Anolis sagrei: one gene and its partner. The protein of the gene in region 1 purifies or fractionates together with the protein of each later gene. This does not show direct contact. Links are inferred from orthologs where the notes say so. Each region holds a gene or a part of one and is shown in the gene's direction. Other genes may lie near its edges.

Region 1 (7,543 bases):
GAAAATGGAAGGAAAAAGGAAGAGGGGCAGACCAAGGGCAAGATGGATGAATGGTATCCTTGAAGTGACTGGCTTGACTTTGAAGGAGCCGGGGGTGACAACAGCCAACAGGGAGCTCTGGCGTGGGCTGGTCCATGAGGTCACAAAGAGTTGGAAGTGACTGAACAACAAACCACCCCAAATTTCACTGCCATTTGGTGGAGAGACATGACACCAATAAAACCTTAACTGGCATGCAGGTTGGAGACTGTAAACATGTGGTTTGGGTAAATCAACTTTTCTTTCATCAACAATTTTCCTTGAAAATCTTCCCATGCTATAATTAATCCACCAACACTTAACAGACACTCAAAATTTGGGAAAATAGATTTCAGAAGCTGGGGAACAGATTTGGTGCTCAGGCTGCACAACCCTACCAATAGCTTATCAATAGCTTACCAAGTTCCCTAAGATAAAATAGTGTTTCCAATAACATTACCCAAACTATAGAAGTTATGGGGCAAAACATTCCTCTTTAAATGTAGCTTGGCCTTCCCTTTATCAAGTATAACTAGCCGCAGCTACTATATGAGACTGCAAAGCAAAAGAGAAACTAGATTAATCCATTTCCTCTGCTGAGAGATTAGCAGTTTTTCACTCTCATGTATACTGTAGAATCAATACAGTTTGACACCACTTTAACTACCATGGCTCAATGCTGTGGAATCATGGCAAGTGATGTTTTACAAGGTCTTTAGTTTTCTCTGCCAAAGTGTGCTGATGCCTCACCAAATTCCAAATGCTGTTGAACCATAGTTGTTAAAGTGGTGTCAAACTGAATTAAATCTACAGTACAGATCCATTCTGATCAGGGAAGCCACGGCCTTCTGTTTACAAGACTTGGTGACAAGGTGACTTGTTCGTCTTGTTGCAGCAAATTTTTGAATTACAAAAAGCCTCAAAATATAGGAAATCAACCAGCCTTTAATTTTAGCATTCTGCCTTGACAGATTGAAAAAAACAGCTTTCTCCTCACTGTGTTTTCTTTTCTGAATGGGATCCCTTAGATCATGTAGTCTTACTTACTTTTTTACCAAACAGAAATGTAACACTGCAGCACTATCAGTCTATTCATAAGGTCATCATATCTTGAAGTCAACTCGATGTCAGTTCATAACAACCTGAAATGTTCCATTCCAGCTGATTGTGATAGGAAATGTGTTTTCCAGAATTGGTGGCCGAGCCTGCTTTTTTCTTCCTCATTCCTCTTCCTTGCTGTTTGTGTGTCATACTTTTTAGATCTTGAGCTTAAGGGCAGAGAGTATCTTACTTGTGAACTTGAATGTTAAAATATTTATCTTTATTTTAAGGTGGTTTACATTAAAATGCCTTATTTTTTAACAGATATCCATTTGCACTTTGATCCAAGCACTTTGCAAATCTGCTATGATATGTACCATTTAGATCAGAGCTTTTCAAACACTGTGTGTTGTGACATCTTAGTGAATCAGCTGCACTGTGTAAGTATGTTGGGCAAATATAACAAGACTCCTCAGAGTCTATGGAAAAGAAGCAATAAATCATATATTTTAAAAGGAAATGTTTCCATGAGATAGGTTGTGTCCTCCCACATTTCTTTATCACAATTGATGTATGTGTCTGTACCTCTTATGAGGAGTTAGTGTAACCTCCAGTTTACTAAGAAAACTGAATTGAAATGTTTGGAAAGCTCTGGTTTAGATCACGGTGGGCAACACACAGACTATTTCAAATGATAAAGAACAACAAACCAGAAATGGCTGGATGGATCTCATTTTTGAAAGAAAAAATGAGTATTTTTTAAAGCTTCCCTGATGAATTCACCTTTTCCCAGAAGAGCCATCCAAGGTCCTGGAGCGAGTAAAGGAGCCATAATAAAGCTTAGGGGCTCCTCGCAGTCCAAAGGATGTGCTTTGTATAAGATAGTCATTAACTTTTGGGAGCCTTAAAGCAAACTAAAGCAAACAAATAAGGTATGAAGATTAAGACTGCTTAGCCTCTTTGTGTCTTGGAGCTCTTCCTGTGATGTGGATTTTGAAGGAAAGACTGTCCATACCAGTTTCAAACAATGTTGACCTACTTTCTTCAAGGTCTTGTTGTCTCTTCTAGAATTAGATGGGCTAAGAGTCGACATAGTGGAATCATTGGATTTGTACTTTGAATCAATGTAGTTTGACACTACTTTAACTTCTGTGATTAAATGCTATGGAATCATTAGATTTTAGTATGGTGAGGCACTAGCACCCTTTGGCAGAGAAGGCTGAAGATCTAATAAAACTACATCTCCCATAGCATTGAGCCGTTGCAGTTAAACTGCATACTTTCTGCAGTGTAGATGTATCTGTAGTTTCGTTTTTTTGTTTTTGTTTTGCCACTGAGGGGAATAAGGGCAACACAAATATCTGATGAACATCTAAACTTTTGCACCAAGGACTCAAGAGGTGACGGACTATTAAGAATAATTCAAAGGCTATTTAGAGTTCGCACACTTTAAATGTCAATCCCTATTGTTTTAGTGTGAGAGACTGAAGCGCTTCACCTGGGAGGATAGTATACTAAAGTTTTCTTTTCAGGCAGGCTTTTAAGGAAGAATGTTTTGAAGAATGGACCAGAGATGCTGTGTTGTATGTAGTTTAATAGATTTTTGAATGGTTTGATTGATCTTAACTACATATTTTAATACCTCTATATGTATATTGAAACTTGTGTGCCGGCTGCGCTCATATCTTGGGAAGTCAGACTTGGCCACAGTGGTCCATGCTGTTGTTACATCTTGAAAAGACTACTGTAACATACTCTAAGTGTGGCTGCCTTTGAAGACTGTTTGGAAGCAGCCACATTCCTCACTGGGGCGACATACAGGGAGCATTCAATCCCCGTAACATCAGCTCCACTGGTTGCCAATCTGCTACCGAGCATAATTCAAAGTGCTGGCTTTGGCCTATAAAGCTCTAAATGGCTCCAGTCCAACTTACCTGTCTGAATGTATCTCCCTCTATGAACTGGTTAGAGAGATAAAATCTGTGAGGGAGGCCCTGTTCTTGGTCCCACCCACATTGCAAGCGCGACTGGTGGAGACGAGAGTCAGGGCCTTCTCAGTAGTGGCCCTCAGCTATGGAACTTCCTCTCTAGAGATATCAGATTGGCCCCCTCCTTCCTGGTGTTCAGGAAAAAAGTGAAAACCTGGTTATGGGATTGGCTAGGCGTTGGATTTTTGGGCTATATGGTCATGTTCAGGAAGCATTCTCTCCTGACGTTTCACCTGCATCTATGGCAAGCATCCTCTGAGGTTGTGAGGTCAGGAGAGAATGCTTCTAGAACATGGCCATACAGCCTGTAAAACCTACAACAACCCAGTGATTCCAGCCATGAAAACCTTCGACAATTCAATAATAATTTAGACCAATTCTCACTCCAGGGGTGTTTCTACACTTCCTGGTGGACAGGAGATACTCCATTTCCCTGAAAGAAAGAAAAAGACTTAACTGGAAAAGAAACCCTAGGGTGTTTGTAATATAACCCATACCCCCGTTTATTTATTTATTTGTGTCAGGAGCGACTTGAGAAACAGCAAGTCGCTTCCGGTGTGAGAGAAATGGCTGTCTGTAAGGACGTTGCCCAGTGGACACCCGGATGTTTTGATGTTTTACCATCCTTGTGGGGGGCTTCTCTCATGGCCCTGCATGGGGAGCTGGAACTGACAGAGGGAGCTCTTCCACGCTCTCCCTAGATTCGAACCTCTGACCTGTTAGCCTTCAGTCCTGCCAGCCCCAAAATAAATCCCAGTTTTAGTGTGAGAGATTGATGATCGAACCGGATGATCGAACCGGATTATATGAGCCTACACTTCCAGATAGTCCGGTTCAAAGCAGATAATCTGGATTTTATATGGCAATGTAGAAGGGGCCTGAGGCTGTGAGGAATGGTGGGAGTTGAAGTCCAAAACACCTGGAGGGCCCAAGTTGGCCCATACCTGATCTACAGTTAATAAGGGTGGAATTAATCAGGATTTGACATCACTTTAACTGCCATGGAATCCTGGGAGTTGTAGTTTTACAAGGTCAGTAGCTTTCTCTGCCTCACCAAACTACAACTCCATGATTGCATAGCATTTTGGGCTGGGAAGCTAAAATGGTGTCAAAATGCATTCATTCTACAGTGTAGGTGCACCCTCGGTAAAGTAATTGTGGGCTAGTAACTCATCCTAAGTATAAATCACTCTATCATTCAACTGGGTTGGATTTAGGAAACCCAACGCCACGCCTCTTGGAGAAGAAAGTGACGTCAGCGACAAAAACAACCACCATTTCTAATCCCGGCTCCAGACATGCGCATTGCCGTCGGGCCGTCTCGCAATTGTTTTTCCCCCTTCTCCCCCTGCACTTGCTCACAATGGTTTCTCCGCCTCCCTCACGGCGTCTTCTGATTGGTGGAAGTAGTCAGAGGACCAGGAGAAACCATAGCGGGCGGGGAGGAACCAAATAGACGCGCACCACGTGACGGCGCGCGCTCCCGGCCGCCCAATCGGCGTCGAGGTGTGGGATTCAAATGGAGAGTTGCGCCAGGCGCGTCTGTTAGCCACGGAAGAGCGCTGGGCCGGTGAGGTGGTTTCGGCTGGGATAGAGGCCGCCTTCTTCTTTTTCTTCGCCGCTATGTCTCACAAACAGATCTATTATTCGGACAAATACTACGACGAGAACTACGAGTACCGGTGAGAGAGAGAGAGAGAGGGGGGCTATTTCTCTTTGAGGAATTGTGGGTGTTGAAGGCCAAAACACCTGAAGGGCCGAGGTGGCCCATACTTGATCCTCACTGTAGAATGAATGTAGTTTGACACCACTATAACTGGCATGGCCCAAGTTTTTGGGCTCCTAGAATTTGTAGTTTGGCAGAGAAGGCTAAAGGCCTTGTAAAACTAACGGGGAGGTCTCTTTTTCCCTTCCTCCATTTTCAGCCTTGGAGTTAGGCAGTGATTCTCAGCCTGTGGGTCCCCAGGTGTTTTGGCCTACAACTCCCAGAAATCCCAGCCACTTTACCAGCTGTTAGGATTTCTGGGAGTTGAAGGCCAAAACATTTGGGGACCCACAGGTTGAGAACCACTGAGTTAGAGCCTAGATACCTTAAGGCTCCAGATCCTGCCTGCTCTTGGAAGCTGAGCAGGGTCAGCCCTAGTTAAGAGATTGGATGGGAGACATCAGGAAGAAGTTGGCAAACCCACCTCTTGAGTTCCCTTTGGTTAAGAAAACCCTATCTAGTGATTCCTGAAATTTGGATCTCCTGTTTTGGATTTAAACTCCCAGAATCCTCAGCCAACAGTTATGAATTCTGGGAAGAGAAGACCAAGACATTGGAACATCATAGTTTGGAAAACACTGACCAGTGCAGTTAACTTGAAGGTGTGATATTCATGAACTGAAACTGGGGAACTAAGTTAAAAGATGGAGACTGGCCCAAATTGCCATTAACAAACTCCATGTATGAATTAATTGTGAGTGTGGATCACCCAGTATGAGGACAGCACTATCCACTCAAACACACTGGGTATTGCTAATGGCCTTTTCATGTAGTTGAGACCCTTGTGTGTAGTGTAAACTCTTTGCTGTCTTTATTGTGATTTCTGATTACCATGTTGCCACCCTAAAACCTGCAAATCATCTACACAAGAAGCAACTTGCAGTTTCTCAAGTCACTCCTGACACGGAAAAAAAATTCTACCCAATAATCTTTCAAAGTATGGGTTAAGAGAAAGCTGAGAGGAGACATGATGGTCATGTATAAATATGTGAGGGGAAGTCATAGGGAGGAGGGAGCAAGTTTGTTTTCTGCTGCCATGGAGACTAGGACACGGAACAATGGCTTCAAACTACAGGAAAGGAGATTCCACCTGAACATTAGGAAGAACTTTGGACAGATATACAAAAGCAGTGGCTCTGGGGGAGGGGAACACGGTGGTGAGGGATAGAAAATATGTATCTGTAAAAATAACAGTAGATGCTAAAAGTTAATGTATGGTAGATTGTATTGAATATTATGTGCCTGCCGTAAAAAAAATGTATAACAAATGTATTGAATTATATTTTTAAAAAATAAAGGAAGAACTTCCTAACTGTGAGAGCTATTCAGCAATGGAACTTTCTGCCCCAGAGTGTGGTGGAGGCTTTTAAATAGTGGCTGGATGGCCATCTGTCAGGGGTGCTTTGAAAGCTATTTTCCTGCTTCTTGGCAGGGGATTGGACTGGATGGCCCAACTCTATGATTCTATGATCAAATAATCTAAACATTTTAAGGTATGCAAGCAGCAGCTTATACACTTGATAGTTCAGGGTCCCCTTTTCTACCAAACGTATTGTCTACATTTTTTTTTAAAAAAAGCATTAGAAATAATTCTTGCAAGGTTTTGCCAATTATCATTTCATCAATACGAAACAATGATTGTTTTCAAAATGAAAGAAACATGAGTCATTGAAATTTCTGCCCCTGGTAGACATGTGATGCTGCCAAGAGAGCTCTCAAAACAAGTACCGAAAACTCATCTAATGACCGAAGAAGAATGGCGACGACTTGGAGTCCAACAGAGCCTTGGCTGGGTCCACTACATGATTCATGAACCAGGTAAAAGGATTCAACTGTACTGGGAAGGTGGGTGGGGATGATCTCTAAATAAGAGTAGAAGTTATGAACATGTACAGGTTGTGTTGATTAACCTTGCATGCTTAAACTTAAAAAATTGATGCAGTAATTAAACATTTTTTCTTCAATTGCTCTTTTGACACATGTTAATCGTATTTGGTAACGTTTGTGTTTAAGGGCACTGTATAAATGCTCTAAATAAACAAGGGCCTGTTCAAAAGAAAGCACACTCACCTAGCTTATAGTTAATTTCGATCCTCCCAAGTGTAAAAGGGTTTTTTCCCAATGGGGTTGCTGAGCATAAACCGAATATTGAATGAATTTATAGTTATGGCACTATGTATATCCTTCAGCACCTATTTGCCTGATTTTTAAATTGGAGCCTAATATTTGTGTACTTGTTTAATTTGCAATCACATTGTGTTTGTTTTGCATGCTTTTTAAGGGAGGCAGAACTACTCGGGATTGCCCCCCCCCCCCCAGTCAAAATCTCCAGATCTAAATTCTCCTTGTTCAGAATATAAAATCAGTTTAGCGATTGCAGTGTTAAATGAATGAGCAGAGTAAGATGTATCAGACTGCAGTTTTTCAACAGGCAGCTGAAAGCTCCTTTGCTTTTCTTTTTACAGAACCACACATCCTCCTTTTTAGAAGACCACTTCCAAAAGGCCAGCAGAAATGACTTCTCTCAACTTCTGGAATCTTTTGTAAAAATGTATATATGTTGGTAGTATTCAGTGAATACTTGAGAATGTACAAATACGTCATTACCTGTGCATGAGCTGTATTATTCACAGCAACAGAGCTCAGTAAAGTGCAAACGAAGTAGGCTGCTATGATCATAAACTCTTACTGTTAACAAGTGCCTATTTGATCTTGTCTATTTTGTTCAATA
Region 2 (7,300 bases), on another chromosome or scaffold:
AGTTTCTTTTCAATTAAAAAATACAATCGTTTAGTCTTGTGTTTTTGTTATTACAGGAGAGAAAAGCACAATATTGTCCAACATAAAGCTTGGTGCTCATTTTAACATTTATGACTAAGTATCAATCATGAATCCGGAACAGTTACAGTTCAGTAAATCTAGGTAACTGTTCTGTATTCACGACAGCTATTTAGTCACAATTGTGACACTATTGCGAGGATTGTAACTAGGCATGGATAGAGTCACGTCGGATAACTCGTTGCTTGTAATAATTTCATTAAAATTACCTTTTTGAAGCAATATTGAAGCTTTTAAAAAAATTGAAAGTCCTTTTGCTCTTCCTAAGCTTTTTCCGCCATTTTTGTTACAACTCAGGAAGTGAGTCGGAAATTATTCAGCTTTTCCCTGCTTCAGGTCCCTGGCCTCAGCTCAAGCCAGAGAAGCCAGTTTTAAACCAGAGAAGGAAGGAATTTCCTGGCCTCGGCTCAAGCCAGAGAAGCCAGTTTTAAACCAGAGAAGGAAGGAATTTCCTGGCCTCGGCTCAAGCCAGAGAAGCCAGTTTTAAACCAGAGAAGGAAGGAATTTCCTGGCCTCGGCTCAAGCCAGAGAAGCCAGTTTTAAACCAGAGAAGGAAGGAATTTCCTGGCCTCAGTTCAAGCCAGAGAAGCCAGTTTTAAAGTTCTGGTGCAAGCCTCTGACTCCAGCAGTCATTACTTAGGGCCTTTCCACACAGCCCTATATCCCAGAATACCCAGACAGAAAATCCCACAGTATCTGCTTTGAACTGGGTTATCTTGAGTCCACGCTGTCATATTTTCCAGTTCAAAGCAGATAATGTGGGATTTTATTCCGCTGTGTGGAAGGGACCTTAATGAACGGAATTTGTACCCTGCCTTTATCCCAATATGGGATCTTAAACTATTCACAATATAAATTAAAACCAGATACAATTACACAATGAATACAAAAGTTTACAAATTCATAACTATTTAAAATATTAATTCAAAACAATCCTTAACAGGCCATAAAATATAAGAACAACACCAGTAGATGAATAGTCCTGTTATGTACAGTTGAGGGCCACATGATCTCAGATATAAATAAACTTGTTTCTGGAAAGATTAAGTTTGTTGGAGAATAAATGGATACAAAACTTCTTCATGAAGACAAAAGAGCTATGGAAATAAATCGGAGATAATGTTGTGCTGAAGCAACAATCAAATTTGTTTGTTTGTTTAAATAAAACATCAGGAACCATCAACTTTTCCTGGCATATTATTAAAACCTAAATAGCAAAATTGAAACAATGGACCTGGCCTCAACTCTGCATAGAGAAGGCTATCCATAAACTCAGTGACCTGGAAAAGATGGCATGACTCAGATAGGTAACAGCAACTCTGAAGAGCAGCAGAAATCTATTGTTGGGATGACAGCTAATTCAGAATCAATTTCAGGATTGAGTGACAGTGTTGTTGAGCCACAGCACCCCCTCCCCAAATTGATCTGAACCTTCAGAGGGACTCCAAGCAAGAGATTCGAATTTCTTTTTATTGTTAAAACATTTTCCGCTCTTTCAAAGTTACGCAATATCGAAGCCTTTGGAGGTTCGGAAAGGATCCAGCAGCAACTGTACCCCGAACTATATCATGTCTAAACCCTTTAATAAATGTATAAAATATTTATTGTGTAACTTGTTTTGATTGTATACTATATCAATCCCTACATGTATAAAACTGTATCAAATACGTTATGAAGGCAGCTGTTTTTCTCAGTGCCCCCTATTTACAAAAGCTTCAGGGAACGGAGATTGCTGAACAATTAAAAAGGTTTCTCCCAGTGATCTCTCAAGCTAGATAATATCAGTTCCTTTATGTGTGTATACAAGACAGATAATCCCTTTATCGCCAGGGCTATGTTGACGCTGTTTTACCTGTTAAAATATGTCTGGAAGCTTATGGTTTAAAGAAAAGGCTAAAACAAATATGAATACATTAGCCTTCTGAAAGGGCAGTCAAGCCCTCCGGTCAGCCAGGATGGCCACCTTTTGTTTCCTGGGTCTTGCATCATTGTCTTCACTGAAATGAGAATTTAAATCAGTGATTCCCAACCTTTTTTTGACCAGGGACCACTCTCCAACTTTATTACCAAAAGGGTTCCGAATAAGTTTTTGGTTAACTTTTGATTCAGCATGGTTATTTGGGGTGCAGACTCAGAAAACTGCATTAGATAGACCACATAAGCTCTAGTTTCTGTACAGAACATATGACATCCAGTAGTCGCCATGTGCTCACCACAGATGGCAAAAACCATCTTTAATAAGCCTCAGCACTATAAGAGGGTTTCATGAGACCAGTCACTCTTGTTGCAATGGTGTAGTAACAGTAAGGTCGTGGACCATATTTTAGTTCTTGCGAACACGTGGTGGTCCATTTATTTATTTATTTTTATTTTAAATATTTATATCTCGCCCTTCTTCCCACAAGGGGGACTCAGCGCAACCTCACATGAGCATTAGAAGATACTAACAGCATAAATACCATAAAAATTACAATTCACAATAAAAACATTGTACGGTGGTGCAGTGGGTTAAAGCACTGTGCCGGCAGGACTGAAGACCGACAGGTCACAGGTTCGAATCCGGGGAGAGGCGGATGAGCTCCCTCTATTAGCTCCAGCTCCTCATGCGAGGACATGAGAGAAGCCTCCCATAAGGATGATAAAACATCAAAAATTATCCAGACGTCCCCTGGGCAACGTCCTTGCAGATGGCCAATACTCCTGACACGACAAAAAAAAAAAAGAGTAAAATTTAACAATAAATTAAAAATTAATGTGCCAGTAAAAACCAAGCCGAGCTGGGAGAATCTATATCACAAAATCCAAATTTCCTTTTCCTATTGCCACTGGTCTCTAATCAAATGCCTGGCCCCAGAGCCAGGTCTTCAGTTGTCTTCTAAAGGACAGGAGGGAGGTGGCCAACCTGATGTCCTTAGGGAGAGAGTTCCACAGACAGGGGGGTTCTACCGAGAAGGTAGTGTCCCTCGTCCCCACCAACAACATTTGCGAAAGTGGTGGGATCGAGAGCAGGGCCTCTCCTGATGATCTTAAGCTTTGTGATGGTTCATAGCAGGAGATACGTTCAGACAGGTAATCTGGACCAGAACTGTTCAGGACATTAGAATCATAGAGTTGGAAGAGGCCTCACGGGCCATTGAGTCCAACCCCCCGCTAAGAAGGAAAATTACATTCAAAGCACCCCCGACAGATGGCCATCCAGCCTCTGTTTAAAAGCCTCCAAAGAAGAAGCCTCCGGGGCAGAGAGTTCCACTGCTGAACAACTTTCACAGGAAGTTCTTCCTAATGTTCAGATGGAATCTCCTTTCTAGTAGTTTGAAGCCATTGTTCCACGTCCAAGTCTCCAGGGCAGTTGAAAACAAGCTTGCTCCCTCCTCCTTGTGACTTCCTCTCACATATTTATACATGGCTATCATGTCTCTTCTCAGCCGTCTCTTCTTCGGGCTAAAAAGGCTGAGCTCTTTTAGCCGCTCCTCATGGGGCTTGTTCTCCAGACCCTTGATCATTTTTGGCCACATTCCAGCTTGTCAATACCTCTCTTCAATTGTGGTGTGGTTGTACATTGTACAACGAAATGAAATGCTTTCCCCAGCATTCATGACAAAAACTACACACTCCAAACATTGAGCCCTGGCAGTTAAAGTGGTGCCAAACTGTGTTAATTCTAGTCTAGCTGCATTTTGTCACTGACACAAGTTTGTCATTAAGTTAAGACTAAGAATGGGCAAACTTGAGCCCTTCAGATGTTTTGGATTTCAACTCCCACCATTCCTAACAGCCTCAGGCCCCTTCCTTTTCCCCCTCAGCCGCTTAAGCGGCTGAGGGGGAAAAGGAAGGGGCCTGAGGCTGTTAGGAGCGGCTGAGGGGGAAAAGGAAGGGGCCTGAGGCTGTTAGGAGCGGCTGAGGGGGAAAAGGAAGGGGCCTGAGGCTGTTAGGAATGGTGGGAGTTGAAATCCAAAACATCTGAAGGGCACAAGTTTGCCTATGCCTGAGTTAGACACCGTAAGACACAGCCAAGACGTGTCTCTTTCCTTCCTGTCAATCACCTCCTTTGGTGGCTCCTGATTGGCTAAAAGAGAGAGAGAGAAAAAAAATGGCGGGGGAGGGGGGGAAAAGAGGAAAGGGGGCGGGGCTTGTGCCTTCCCGCGCTCTTAACCCCCCCCCATCCTTTCCCTCGCTTCTGAGTGCGCGCGCACTGCTGCTGCTGCTGCCGCGGTGACGTAGGCGAGGCGGAAGTGGGCGAGCCCGTTTGGAATTTTGGCGCGAGCGCGGAGCGTTGGCCCCCAACGTTCTGAGGAAGGGGAGTGGGAGGGGTCGCCCTTGGCGCGAGGAGAGGAGAAGGAGAAGGAGAAGAGAAGAGAAGGCGGCTGCATCCGGGTATTTGTGTGTGTGTGTCTGGCGAGAGAGAAATATTCCCTCAACACTTCAGAGGAAATTGGAGAGGCCAAGAGGCAAGGCGTTCCCTGCCTCCCAAATATGGGGGGATGTCTTAAATTGGGGAGAATTGAGAGGGGAAGGAAGGGAAAGGGGGGCTTGACAGATATCCTTTATTGTTAATGGTAATGCTGTATATTGGTGGAAGCATGGCTCTTTTCTCCCTCCCTTTGAGAATTAAGGTTGCCAGAATGTTGTGTTATTATGATGTTAGTGATGGAAATATAGTCTTTTTCTCCCTTCCTGTGTGAATTGAGGCTCCTAGGTGTCACTAAAATTATTATTATTGTGTGCTGGAGGAAATATTATCCTGTTTTCCCTCCCTCTCAGTTAAAGTTGCCAGATGACATTATTATTATTATTATTTGAAACACAACAAGATCAGTCCACAGCAGACAAGATCACTCTGCTGGCTGCTGTATTGGATCGCACGTCAGACACTTCCCAAGTGTATTATTATTATTTTATTATTATTATTATTATTTGAAACACAACAAGATGAGTCCACAGCAGACACTGTGCTGACTGTTGTATTGGATCACATGTCAGACACTTCCCAAGATGATGATGATGATGATGATTATTATTATTATCATTATTATTATTTGAAACACAACAAGATGAGTCCACAGCAGACACTGTGCTGACTGTTGTATTGGATCACACGTCAGACACTTTATTATTATTATTATTATTATTATTATTATTTGAAACACAACAAGATGAGTCCACAGCAGACACTGTGCTGACTATTGTATTGGCTCACACGTTGGACACTTCCCAAGTATATTATTATTATTATTATTATTATTATTATTATTATTACTATTATTATTTGAAACACAACAAGATGACTCCGCAGCAGACAAGATCACTCTGCTGGCTGTTGTATTGGATCACATGTCGGACACTTCCCAAGTGTCTAGGACTGTGTAATGTATCGGCGAATAATAATAATAATAATAATAATAATAATAATAATAATTTTACTGACACAAAAGCACAGTATGTCACAGCAAACGAGATCTATATGCTGGATTTTGTGTCACAAAATCACAAGTTGAAGACTTCCCAAGCATCCAGGACTGTGTGATGTATTTTCAAATTATGTGTATTATTATTATTGTTATTATTATTATTATTATTATTATTATTATTATTATTATTATTATTTGAAACACAACAAGATGACTCCGCAGCAGACAAGATCACTCTGCTGGCTGTTGTATTGGATCACACTTCAGACACTTCCCAAGTGTCTACGACTGTGTGATGTGTCGGCGAATAATAATAATAATAATAATAATAATAATAATAATAATAATTTTACTGACACAAAACCACAGTATGTCACAGCAAATGAGATCTATATGCTGGATTTTGTATCACAAAATCACAAGTTGAACCCTTCCCAAGCGTCTAGGGCTGTGTGATGTATTTTCGAATGAGGCATGCAGATCCAACTAAGGTGGCCTTTTGCAGTTGACAGATTGTGATTTTGTCAATATTTGTTGTTTCCAAATGCTGGCTGAGATCTTTTGGCACGGCACCCAGTGCGCCAATGACCACTGGGACCACCTGTACTGGTTTATGCCAGAGCCTTTGCAGTTTGATTTTGAGGTCCTGATAACGGCTGAGTTTTTCTTGTTGCTTTTCCTTAATGCGACTGTCACCTGGTATGGCGACATCAATAATCCAAACTCTTTTCTTTTCCACAGTTGTGATGTCTGGTGTATTGTGTTCCAAAGCTTTGTCAGTCTGGATTCGAAAGTCCCACAGTATTTTTGCGTGTTCATTTTCCACCACCTTTGCGGGTTTATGATCCCACCAATTCTTTACTGCTGGCAGGTGGTACTTGTGACATAAGTTCTAGTGAATCATTTGGGCCACAGAGTTGTGCCTTTGTTTGTAGTCCATCTTTGTGATTTTCTTGCAACAGCTGAGGAGATGACCATGGTTTCATCAGCTTCCTTGCACAGTCTGTATTTTGGGTCATCAGCTGATTTTTCAATCCTGGCCTTAATTGCATTTGTTCTGATGGCTTGCTCCTGGGCTACAAAAATCAGGCCTTCTGTCTCCTTCTTCATAACCATAACCAGGTATTCTCCTTATCAACTTTTCCTTCAATTTTGTCAAGGAACTGCCCATGCAATGCTTTGTTGTGTCAGCTGTCAGCTCTGGTTTGGAGTGCAGTTTTCTTGTACTGGTTCATTGTCTGCTGTGCTTTTAATATATATATATATATATATATATATATATATATATATTATTACTATCATCATCATCATTAGGTACGTAACAATATTAGTACGCCGCAAACAAGATCACTATGCTGGTTCTTCTATTGGATCATATGTCGGATACTTCCCAAATGGCTAGGACTGCTTGATGTATTGGCGAATGTTGCGTGCAGATCGGAGTCAGGTGGCCATTTGCAGCTGACAGATGGTCGTTTGTCAGCGCCGATTGTTTTTAAGTGCAGGACAAAGTCTTTAGGCACTGCACCCAGTGTGCCAATCACCACTGGGACCACCTTAACTGGCTTGTGCCAGAGTCTTTGCAGTTCGATCTTTAAATCCTCATATCGTGTCAGCTTTTCCAGTTGTTTCTCTTCAGTCCTGCTGTCACCTGGGATTGCAACATCAGAGATCCATACTTCGTTTTTTAACATGATTGTGAGGTCAGGAGTATTGTGCTCCAAAACTGTCAATCTGAATTCGGAAGTCCCAGAATAGTTTGACATGTTCATTTTCTGTAACTTTTTCAGGCTTGTGATCCCACCAGTTCTTTG

What was found. The genes of interacting proteins can lie anywhere in the genome.
Region 2: the proteins of CKS2 (region 1) and PKMYT1 purify together in Homo sapiens (affinity purification with mass spectrometry; 3 studies listed by BioGRID and IntAct, counting the BioPlex papers as one, with this or other methods). This does not show direct contact. The link is inferred for Anolis sagrei from reciprocal best matches to the Homo sapiens genes CKS2 and PKMYT1.

What each region holds. Positions count from the first base shown.
Region 1 is NC_090022.1:234,206,028-234,213,570, forward strand, and holds the start of CKS2 (cyclin-dependent kinases regulatory subunit 2), read left to right. Parts: upstream 1-4,542; 5' UTR 4,543-4,670; coding exon 4,671-4,729; intron 4,730-6,502; coding exon 6,503-6,630; intron 6,631-7,277; coding exon 7,278-7,330; 3' UTR 7,331-7,543. UniProt on the Homo sapiens protein: Binds to the catalytic subunit of the cyclin dependent kinases and is essential for their biological function.
Region 2 is NC_090026.1:23,688,043-23,695,342, reverse strand, and holds the start of PKMYT1 (membrane-associated tyrosine- and threonine-specific cdc2-inhibitory kinase), read left to right. Parts: upstream 1-4,280; 5' UTR 4,281-4,526; intron 4,527-7,300. UniProt on the Homo sapiens protein: Acts as a negative regulator of entry into mitosis (G2 to M transition) by phosphorylation of the CDK1 kinase specifically when CDK1 is complexed to cyclins. Mediates phosphorylation of CDK1 predominantly on 'Thr-14'. Also involved in Golgi fragmentation.